Linked DNA regions of Caenorhabditis elegans. The protein of the gene in region 2 interacts with the protein of the main gene of each other region in a pairwise test. Each region holds a gene or a part of one and is shown on either strand. Other genes may lie near its edges.

Region 1 (4,751 bases), on a different chromosome or scaffold from region 2:
TTTAATGAAACATGTCATTTTTTTCGGTTAAAAATATGACTTTAGGTAATTTTTGTAATGAAATTTCCAATTTTTTCGGTTAAAAATCCTTTTTTTTGTCATTTTAGCCTGAAAAATGCTATTTTTTAAGTAAAAACCCCCGATTTTAGGTCAATTTTGGTGTGAAATTTTCAAATTTTTCGGTTATTTTTCGGAATCCCCGCATTTTTTTTCCACTACAACGTAAATTTTCAGAGCTGTAGCTCAAAATTGCGTGAAATCTGGTGTTTTGGGTTACTGTAGTCGGTGTTTGCGTACTTTCGGGGCTACCGTAACCCGGAAATTCTGAAACATGAGCTAGAAGCACAGAAAACCGATTTTAGAAGTGAAAATTTGCGGCAAAATCGAATTCGGTGATGAAAATCAAAGAATATCGACTCTAAAAGCATGAAAAATGTAATTTTTCGGGTAAAAATTCGATTTAGGTCATTTTTTGATGAAAAATTCAATTTTTCCGGTCAAAAACTATTTCTTCACATAAAAATCCCGATTATTGTTTATTTAGAAGTAAAAAAATGTCATTTTTGGGTGAAAAATTCAATTTTCGGTATATTTTTTTTCTTCATTCTTTTTGAAATTTTAGAATGAAAAAAAAAACCATTTTTGGGTGAAAAATCCTTTTTTGTAATTTCAGTATGAAAAATGTCATTTTTTTCGGTAAAAAATATGACTTTAGGTAATTTTTGTAATGAAATTTCCTTTTTTTTTTCGGTTAAAAATCCATTTTTTTGCCATTAGCCTGAAAAATGCTATTTTTTAGGTAAAAACCCCGATTTTAGGTCAATTTTTGTGTGAAATTTTCAAATTTTTCGGTTAAAAACTGCATTTCCACCGCACCTTTTTGCAAATTCTATTCTCCATATTCGAATAATACCAATTCAACACATAATGTGCAGTTTCGGCAGTTCTTCTCGACGTTTTCACATGATTTCCCTCTATTTCCACAAAAATTTTCTTCTTCGAGCTCGTCGATTTGCCACGATTCCACAAATAACTATCAATATAATAATCGGTATTTTTTAGTCCGTGACGGGGTTCAACAAGGAAATTCTGAGGCCCTTTACGTGTTTCATCGATTGTCAACGGGAATTCTTTCTGAACTTCATGTTCTTCGTAGCAACGGAAATAAAGGAAATGGGCAGCTTTGTTGGGAATTGAGAGATCCGAAGATTTGAGATTGAGAGTTTCTCCGGTGAATGAGGTGGCTGCGGCGACACGCTGCAAAACTTTTTTGAGACGGTTTTTGCTGGTTTTTTAGAGGATTTCTGTGCAAAAATTGGGGTTTTTTTTCTGTGATTTTAGACGCTTTCTGAAGGCTTTTCGCAGGTATTTGAAAGTGAGTTTTCGGAATTTTAGGGCATTATTTTGGCTCTTTTTAAGCAGCTTTTTACAGTGAATTTTCTGTGAAATTTCGGCTATTTCTGGTCGATTTTTGATCGTTTTCAGAGCATTTGAAACTTTACTTTGCCATTTTTAGTGGATTCTCGTTTTAGGTGTGGTTTTTGCTCATTTTCACAGGATTTTTCAAGTAAAAATCCTCATTTTTCAGGGTTTTTTTCGGTGAAAAAATGCCATTTTCCGCGATAAATCACCTGCATTGTGGTGACGAGGTGTTCGTCTTCATTTTGATACGGTACCTTTCTAGTCGGAGTCGGACGCCCTTGATATTTCATTGATGATATTGTAACCTCATTTGCAACCGAAAAATCACTGTTTAAGACCATTTGAGCGTCGATTTTCTCGCGTTTCAAAGCCATTTCCATTTCAATTTCCATTGTTTGAGTGTCCATGTGATCGTCGAGCACTGACGCGTCTGGAAATTGAGAATTTTTGAGATTTTAGGGGTTTTTCAATTAAAATTTGGCCTTTTTCGGGAAGTTTTAGCTTCAAAAATGACATTTTTTGGGAATTTTCTAAATGAAATTTTAATTTTTTGGGGAATTTTTAGGTTGAAAATTGGATTTTTTGGGTTTTTTCGAAGTGAAATTCGAATTTTTAGAGTTTTTAGCTTGAAAATTAAAATTTTCGGGATTTTTTGAGTGAAAATCTGATTTTTTAAGAGATTTTAGCTTGAAAATTAACATTTTCAGGTAAAAATCCGGGGTTTAAAGAATTTTTTGGCGAAAAATTGGTTTCTTAAATGAAAATCGAGTTTTAAGACAAATTTCATAGAAAACTGTAACATTTTCCGGTAGTAGCTTCTGATTTTCAGCCGAAAACTGAATTTTAAAGTAAAAACCTGAGTTCTAGGCAGTTTCTCCTTGAAAACGCGAGCATTTAGGTTAAATTTTAGAATTTTGAAGTGAAAAAATTACATTTTTTAGGTAAAAAATGAACGTTTTAATGGGAAATTGCAAATTTAGAGTCGACAATCGACTTTTCAGCACTTTTCCAATGAAAAAACACATTTTTTGATTAAAAACTGATTTTTTTAAAGCAAAATCGTAAATTTTGGTATTTTCCCCCTAAAAATCGCCAATTTTGCCTGATCATTGAGGATTTTCGCCAATTTTTCCGCGTAAAAATCGCATTTTCATGTAGAAAATCCAATTTTTACCGATTTCAGTGTTGGAAACATCGATTTCCTCCTCTAAAATCGGGCTTTGGTGGTGTTTCTGGTGAACTTGGAGCTCGTGCTCGCCTGGGGTCATATCTCGCTCCTGGTCGACTGAAAGTGGCTCTGGTGTCGTGGATTCTGGGACTTTTCTGAAAAAAAACGAGCAAATTTAGAGATTTTTAGGAGAATTGGAATAGAAACCCGAGATTTTTAAAGGTTTTTTCACTATTTATAGGTCTAAAGTGCTGAAAATTTTGATTTTTCTTTTATATTTTTGGATTTTTCTCGTCTACTCACGCCATTTGTGCAGAAATTGTAGATTTCGGTGTGAGTTGAGCTGTAGGAATAACTTTTTCGAAGACTTCATCTTGTTTGGCGGCGAGCAGCTTTGCGGACGGTGTACGAACTTTTCTCGTCTCCATTTCTGAAAAAAAATCGTTTGAAAATATGGTTTTTTCGCTGAAAAATAAAGAAAAAAGACTAAATTTGCCCAAAATTTGAGAAAAAATTTCGAAAAATAAATTACAGTACGCTTTAAAGGGACAGCAGTGAATTTCACCTTCGTGGCGAGACCCGTTGTGGCAAAAACAGCATGCGCCTTTAAAGTTTACGGTGCTTAATTGAAATTTTGAATTTGTTTTCGAAAACATTCAAATTTCGATCGAATTTTTCGGTTTTTTCGATTCAAAATCAATTTTCGCTTGATTTTCCTGAGAAAACTACGCATTTCCGACAAAATTCAAATAAAAAGAGCCGCGGGGGCCGTGAGAAAAAATGTGGCCGAAGAATACAAAAATTCGACGGGAATGGGACGACGGACGGGGCCGAATCAATTGTGTTTTCTCAGCCACAGATGTTCACGGTGAGTGAGGAGACGCAGTGAAGCGCGCGCGCACGCGACGCGCAACCGCGTCTCGAGTGTGCAAGGTGGGATTGGAGCGCGTTTGTGTGGATAGGGCTGTGTCGATTTACGGAGCGTCGTGGATTTTTTTTAAAGGGGATTTCCGGTTTTTGAGGAGGATTTTTGTGATTTTTTCCTAGTTATTGGTTAATTTCCAGCAAAAAATGAATTTTTTTACGTTAGATTGTAACGGAGAATTTTATAATTCTGCAAATTATAAATATTTATTATTGGTTTAAATTAATTTTTTATCCGAAAAAAAAAACCAAGAAAAAATGTTGAAAAATAAATTTTAATGAGTTTTTTGTATTTCGTTTCAAGACCTGCTGAAAAGTTAATCTTCATGTACCTTTAAACTTACAGTAAAATAGTTTTTACGGTTTTGAAGCCATTTATTAACAATTTTTCGTACGGAAATTCATTAAAAGTTTATATACTAATAATGAAACCCATTGTCATATTTTTTGGCAAACGTAACTCGCAAGTTTCAGTTAAGTTTCAAACTTTGTCAAAAATCAGCAAATAAATGTATTTCGTTGCGAGACCCAACACAGAATTTGCCTCTATGCACCTTTAAAAATTACAGTACGAAATTAATTAATTTCTTTCTCAATTTCAAGCCAAAATAACTCATTTTCCCTCATTTTTTTTTGCAGAAAAACGATGGAATACTGCAGTACAAAGCAAATTTCCACGTTTGTCCTCGCCCTAATCGGTTTTTCGATTCTCGTATTCTTCATCGAAGAGTACACGGAGGAAAGTGAGATGAACAGCGAAATGGAGATGAAAAAAGCGTTTTATAGTAAGATTTCCACCTAAAAACTTGGAAAAAAAGTTGAATTTTCAGAGACGGAACACGGCGGAACCACCGGAAAACTGGAAAAAGTGGTGACGGAATATCCAGCGGAAGAATGTTGGAAGCATGAGCCATTTGAAGTGGTCACCCAGTGTGCACCGTGCAAGGATTTCGAGATTAAGGCTATTAAAGCTGGTAGGGAGATAAAGAATTAGGAAAAATTCAGAAAAATCGCAATTTTTACCTTAAAAACCCGCAAAAAACGACTTTTTCACCAGAAAATCAAAAATTTATCCTATTTTTCCAGGTCATTGCCTAAAAACCGGCTATTTCGATCGTGTAAACTGCTCCAAATCGTCGACAACTGTGCTCCGCCCGTGTCCATCTCCAAAACAATCCCGCCGCCACGAGTTTTACCTGTTCTACGTGGTAAATGCCGCAATTCTCATCGTGAGCTT
Region 2 (6,551 bases):
ACTGGAGAGCCCCAACAACTTTCAAGCTTTTCTAAGGCCTGGGTTCTCTATTTTAACAGACCCAAGAGGCCTGATATCATAGCCTCTGAATACGGTAGAAGCCAAGTTCTGCTCCTCTTCCTCTCCTTATACTATCTCCTGTGCTTCTTCTCCTTCTTCTTTCCTCACTGAGAGTGCCTGAGAGTTATTGTCGGCCGTCATTCGCCTCTCTTGTTTTCGAGTCTGCCGCACCCTCCGATCCATCTCTCCCCATCTTTCTCTCCGCATCACGTTACCCATTCATTCGGCACTCCTCCACGCACTCTCCACAATCGATACGCTGTCGTCACGGCCTCTAAGCACACACACTCCACGACGGGCGCGCTCTCTCGTGCCGGGTGTCTCGTGATCTCCGCCACTCGGCACAGTGTCTAGTGATGTTTGGACTCTCCGCAGCGCGCATTGTGTATGCGAGTGTGCAACGCGTCTCCGCGTCGCGGTCGGCCTCCCCTCGTACACAATGCCCCGCCCGTCTCCAATCTCTCCTCCCTCTCGTCCTATGCGCCCCAAATCGTCCTCTTCTTTTGTGTATATGTTTCGTTTTCTCTTAGTCTTCTTCCTCTTCTACTACTACTACTTTTTGCCCCCCGTCTTGTTCCCTTCATCTCCCTACACTTCTTCTTCTTCTTACCATCCCCAACCGCATCCATCCGCCATCACACACTCTTTTCCGCTGATTTTGGGAGCGCAGAGACAGAAGGCAGGCAGGCAACAAAATAGTGTGGTTAACAGTGATGATGGGAAGAGCATGGGCGGTTTAGGCGCGAAGAGGACAAATTTGAATTCTAAAAATCGACTTGAAACGGAGAGGTACAGGTTGGATTTGATGCCTTGGCCGTGAAATGGGAAAATTCGGAGGGATTTTCAGAGAACCCACAGCGATAGGAATTGGAAGACGGTATTAGAACCATTACATTAGGCTTTAGGCTCAGGTACTTGGATACGGGGCCCTCGTGGTGTCAGGCTGTCCTACTATGGTTTGATCTACAAAAAAATGCGGAAATTTTTGGCCCATAAAAATGTGACGTCAGCAAGTTCTTAACCATGCAAAATCAGTTGAGAACTCTGCGCCTCAACTCCGGCATTTTTTGTAGATCTACGCAGATCAAACCGAAATGAGACACTCTGAGACTTTTTCGTGGGGACCGCGGATATAAAAGGTCGGCCACCAAAATTCATTGCTCTTCTAGAATGCTAACTCTGCCTCTGGAACCCAAAATACCTCTGGATTTGCTGAAACTAGCTTAAAAGTGGATCAGCAGGACCTTTTCCGCAGGATTTAGAGGGACTGACCGAGTTTTCTCTTTCACGGCCACCATGTTCAAGCAGTGCACCTGGGCACCTGTGCACACAGCTCCAACACGAAAAGAAACTAAGATTTTTGCATTTTCAGTAAAATTCAGAAAATTCCACGTGGATCAGTGAAAATTTGGCGCAATTCCGTCGAAATTAGTACATGCTGGGACTATAATAAGAATTTTTTAAGCTTTTGCAGTGAGATACGTTGTTTTCAATTTTATTTTTCAATTTTTCAATCAAAATTCATGTATTCTTCTTTTGTTCCAGTCATTTTAAGCAGTGTTTTCATTATTCTAGTCTTATGAAATTCGAAAAATTGAGAAGGAGGCAAGTGCGCTCCAGTGACACTCCGGCAAATTTGAATTCGAAACTTATCTGCTTCTCTATTTTTCTCACTTTCTCCATTTAATTTCTTATTTTTCTTTGGTTTTCCTGGTTTTCCTTGGTTTTTCTTCAAAAAATTAATTTTTCAAGTGATTAAAATTGTTTCCAGCACAATTATATCCTTATTAAATCGCAATTCTCATCGGAAACTAGCTTAAAAACCTAAAATTCCAATTTTTTCAGGCTCGGAAACACAAAAAATAATAAAAAATGCAGCAGAATATACAATACACATACAGTTCGGATCCCCGCTCGGGCGGTAATCAAAATCAGCAGCTACACGGAATATCGCAATTTCAACAGAACTCCTATCAGCCGACGACGTATTCAAATTCAAATGCGAACAATTTTCATTCCTCTAATTCCGCAACTTTTATACCTAATTCAGTGACGGTAGGGGATTTTCAGGAAATCGAGTGAAAATGTTCAATTTTATTTAATTTCAGCAAACACCTCAGCGGCGGATGGGAGAAGAGAAGAGTTTAGTTAATATGCTTGACGCTTATTTTATCGACAGTACGACACCTTCAACATCAACGTCGTGGAATAATCAGCAGCCAGTTCAGGTAAAAATCGTAAAAATCGTGCGATTTGGCTTAAAAAAATGGCGGAAATCTCGAAAAATCTCGATTTTCCTCATTTTTTACCGTAAATTCTATCGTAATTGTGGTTGTGTTTGTGAATCGTGATTTATTTTATAGATGTCTTCAATACAACAATCAGTTGGATCATACAATCAACAAATACCTCAGTTGAAAGTAGGAGATGTGGTAAATTCGTTGTTTTTTCTTTGTTTTTTTTTGGGGAGAATTTCGTGTTATTCAGTGATTTTTTCAAGGAATTTTGAATTTTGCAGCTCGAAATCCGCGTGGATTTTCGCATTTGAGCGGATTTTTCAAAAAATTTGCTCAAAAAGTCGATAAGTTACTGGAACTTGCTTAGTTTTGCAACTATGGTCTGCTAAATAATTAGCAGACCAAAGGTGGGTATGCTAAATATTTAGCAGGCCCAAGTTGGGTATGCTAAATATTTAGCAGACCCAAGATGCGAAATCGAGCAGAATTTGTCCATTTCTCGAGTTTTAATGCGAATTTTAAGTTTCAACACACTGAAAACACGAATTGAATGAAATCACGCAGCGAACTCACCGAGCACACCTCAGAAACATTTCAGGACCTACAAGTAGAAGGAATGAATGTTAAACTCTCCTCGTCACCCGACAAAGGCGAGAAGGATCGAGTAAAGAAGGCGCGACAGGCAGAAGCCGCCCGAATGCGTTATCACCGACTATCAAACGAAGAGAAACGAGAGTTAAACCTGAAAAGAACGTTGGCGCAGAAGCGAAAACGGCAACGTGAGAAGGAGATGGAGGAGCTCGAATCGATTTTGCGGGAGACAAATGACATTCAAGAGGATCCGGACATCACCGAACAGCTCAGAGAGAAGAGAATGCGGGCCAAGTGGGCAGAGGCCGCCCGTACACGTTACGCTAGAATGACGCCGGAAGAGCGCCGGGCGCACAATACGCGGAGACGTATGCGGCAGATGCAGAACGCGATGAGCGCGATTAAGGTGAATATAGAACATTGAATTCTAGCAGAAAATCTGGAAAATTAGCGGAGAAGAGGAAAATTTAATTGGGTGAAAATCTATTTTTGGTAAAATCTCTCCTCCCTAACACACAAAATTTGTAATTTTTCCGCTGCTACCGTGACGTAACATTCCAGAAATCGGAGTTTCAGGCATGTGGAATGGCTACAGGAGATCCACAGAAGGACGACGAGGCTGTCCGGTTGCACATCAAGACGCAGAATGCGAAAAAAGCGGAGGCGGCTCGTCAACGGTAAGGAAGAGATTCGGGGGAATCAGAATAGCTTGGGTCTGCTAAATATTTACCATACCAAACTTGGGTCTGCTAAATATTCAGAATGGGTCTGCTAAATATTTAGCATACCCAACTTTGGTCTGCTAAATATTTATTTGGGTCTGCTAAATATTTAGCATACCCATCTTTGGTCTGCTAAATATTTAGCAGACCCAACAATTGCGAAATTCACCTGAGTTTCCACACATTTTCGATCAAAAAACCTCCAAATTTCCAGATACCATCGAATGAACGATGACGAGAAGCGCGTCTACAATCAACGAAGGACAGAAGCGTTCCGCCGCCGTCGTATGGAAGAAGAGATGCTGCTCGCCATGCCTATAGGCCGTATCAACGGAGAAGCACTGGATCGTGCTCAGCAGATTGTGGTCCGAAACGCGAAACGAGCCGAAGCGGCACGTCTTCGCTACCAGCGAATGACGCCTGATCAGAGAAAGGTGAATATATTTTTGCTACAACTAATCAATCACCAACGAGAGACAGAGAGGGTCTTGCGATGACTTTTAGTTATTTTTGAGCACGAAAAATTTGAAAATTTGCGCTAGCGAATCCAAAAAAAAACCCCGGGTTTCTTCCCCAACTCTCCGAGATCTCAGACTCCTAAATTTTGTTGTAGGTCGCGAAACAAGAACCGAAAGAAGAGTCTTGGCCCTCTCATGAGCAATCTGACACGCAAATCGACCATGATCTCGATCTCGGAGACGTTAGTGAAACCTTTTTTCTTTTATTTTTCTTCTTCTTTTTTTTGAATTTTGGATACTGAAATTGAGAATGAGAATGCTTGTTGTGTGTAGGCTTTGCGCATGTGTGTTTTCGAAAAACAAAATTTCAAAAAAAAAAAAAACATTTTAATTTTTAATTTTTCAGTCGTACAATCAAAAACGCTACACTCCAAAGCGTCGTCGCAACGAGATGGACGACATGATCAGCGCCGGACAGATGGCCGTCGGATCCTCTGGAACCATCACAATGGGCACCGGCACCCCCGCCAAAAAGGACGATATGGACGCTCTCTCCTCGTTGGAACGTGACGTCGTCAAGCGCACACAGCACGCTCAGCAGATCCTTCTCCGACAACGCGCGAATCAGTCGTCGGGAACGCCACGCTCGGTTACACCACCGCCACAGGCCTATATAATCTCGAATGGTCAGCAACAGCACCAACAGTTGGTTGGAAATCAGGGAAACAATGGGATTGGACAGCACCAGGTGCTCCATCAAGGACACATGCAACAGCAGCAGATTCAGGTGTCACACCAGGTGAATATCGATGAAAACTAGGAAAAAATGAGTTTTTGAGCGGAATTTTGCTATAAAACTCGAGGTTGGGTATGCTAACTATTTAGCAGACCCAAAGTTGGTATGCTAAATATTTAGCAGGCCCGAAGTTGGTATGCTAAATATTTAGCAGACCCAAAGTGGGTATGCTAAATATTTAGCAGACCCAAAGTGGGTATGCTAAATATTTAGCAGACCCAAAGTGGGTATGCTAAATATTTAGCAGACCCAAAGTTGGTCTGCTAAATATTTAGCAGACCCAAAGTTGGTATGCTAAATATTTAGCAGACCCAAATTTCAAAAAAAAAATTGATTTTTACTCAAATCTCCCCAATTCTAGAATCATCCAACTAATCAAACTTTAGGATTTTCAGCAGTCGTCCCAATCGATTCCTCAGAACATCTACACTTCTGGCATGATTATCCAAAATCAGGGACAACAGCAACAAGGCCAGCAGCAGCAGCAGGGACAGTCTCAACAAATATTGAACAATCCTTATAGAACCTAATAATATAATAATTCCTGTTCTTTTTTTTTCAAATCTTCTCTTTCTGTTCTTTTTTCTTCTTCTTTGTCCATTGTTTTTCTTTCCTCTGAAAATTGCATCTGTATTATTTACTGAAAATCGCGTAGTTTTTTATCTTTTTTTAATCAAAAAATTCAACAAAAAAAACCACTAAAAATTGAAAAAAGTTTGCAAAAAAAGCCCCAAAAAATAAGTTTTCTTCCTCTTAATTGTTAATTTTTTAACGTTTTATTCAACTTTCCATTTCTAATTTTCACTGTGACCCAATTTTTTGTTTCATTTTTCTGAAACCCCCATTACCAATAATTTCCAGATATTCTCATTCTCAAGAACCTCCTCTCAAATATCCGAACAAACCCTGCGCTACCGTGAAATCTGCCTTAAACCCACCCCCATCTAGAACTACCTGAAAATCCATGTTATTTTTACATTATCCTTTTTTTCCCCCATTTCTTGTTTTAAAGAAAATATTCACCCTGCGTCTCGAAATTCTTATACTCTATCCCCATCCCTCTCCCACACAAAATCCTCTCCAAATTTCCAAATATTTGGTAATCTGAAAATTTTCGTCGAATTTGAATATTGACGATTAATTAGAATAAAAATTGAAGTTTATTCCTGAGTTTCCGATTTGAAAATTCCTTTTTTTAGCGTGTTTTTTTCAGCGTTTATCTACTTTCTTTTACAAAAATTGTAATAGAAAAAAATCGATATTTGCCACGTGGCAAGCCAAATTGGGTCTGCTAAATATTTAGCAGACCCAAGAAAAATTATTTAGCAGACCAAAGTTGGGTCTGCTAAATATTTGGCAACCAATTTTCTCCAGAAATCCAATTAAAAAGCTCAATAAACCATGAAAAGAGCATTCAGTTGTAAATATTTAATACGAAATTCTATTTCTTGCGGAAAATAATAATTTTCTTGCTGTTCGCACTGGGAAGAGAGGAAATCCCTCAATTTTCCATCCCGATAATTGCACCTTACACTCGGGGTCTCTCGAGAGTTTATAATTAGCTTTTATTTTCAGAAAATACGTATTTTGTTTATCAAATACCCCGAAAATATGAAAATTCTCATGACAACTGGGGAAAATCCATAAAAAAGTGGCAGTGGGCAAGCGCGCTCCATTGATAACGTGC

The links. The genes of interacting proteins can lie anywhere in the genome.
Region 1: the proteins of gei-4 (region 2) and Y77E11A.7 interact in a two-hybrid assay, tested with the Caenorhabditis elegans proteins (one large-scale study listed by BioGRID).

The regions. Positions count from the first base shown.
Region 1 is NC_003282.8:1,416,828-1,421,578, forward strand, and holds the start of Y77E11A.7 (Dynein heavy chain 1, axonemal), read right to left. Parts: upstream 3,019-4,751; coding exon 2,894-3,018; intron 2,746-2,893; coding exon 2,597-2,745; intron 1,853-2,596; coding exon 1,632-1,852; intron 1,258-1,631; coding exon 877-1,257; intron 1-876. Other genes in the region: jtr-1 (Protein JTB), read left to right, coding at 4,161-4,299, 4,345-4,488, 4,601-4,751.
Region 2 is NC_003281.10:343,782-350,332, reverse strand, and holds gei-4 (BZIP domain-containing protein), read left to right. Parts: upstream 1-1,905; 5' UTR 1,906-1,932; coding exon 1,933-2,115; intron 2,116-2,168; coding exon 2,169-2,288; intron 2,289-2,423; coding exon 2,424-2,492; coding exon of another isoform or gene 2,493-2,645; intron 2,646-2,895; coding exon 2,896-3,294; intron 3,295-3,449; coding exon of another isoform or gene 3,450-3,464; coding exon 3,465-3,565; intron 3,566-3,824; coding exon 3,825-4,044; intron 4,045-4,223; coding exon 4,224-4,310; intron 4,311-4,474; coding exon 4,475-4,867; intron 4,868-5,250; coding exon of another isoform or gene 5,251-5,259; coding exon 5,260-5,394; 3' UTR 5,395-6,027; downstream 6,028-6,551.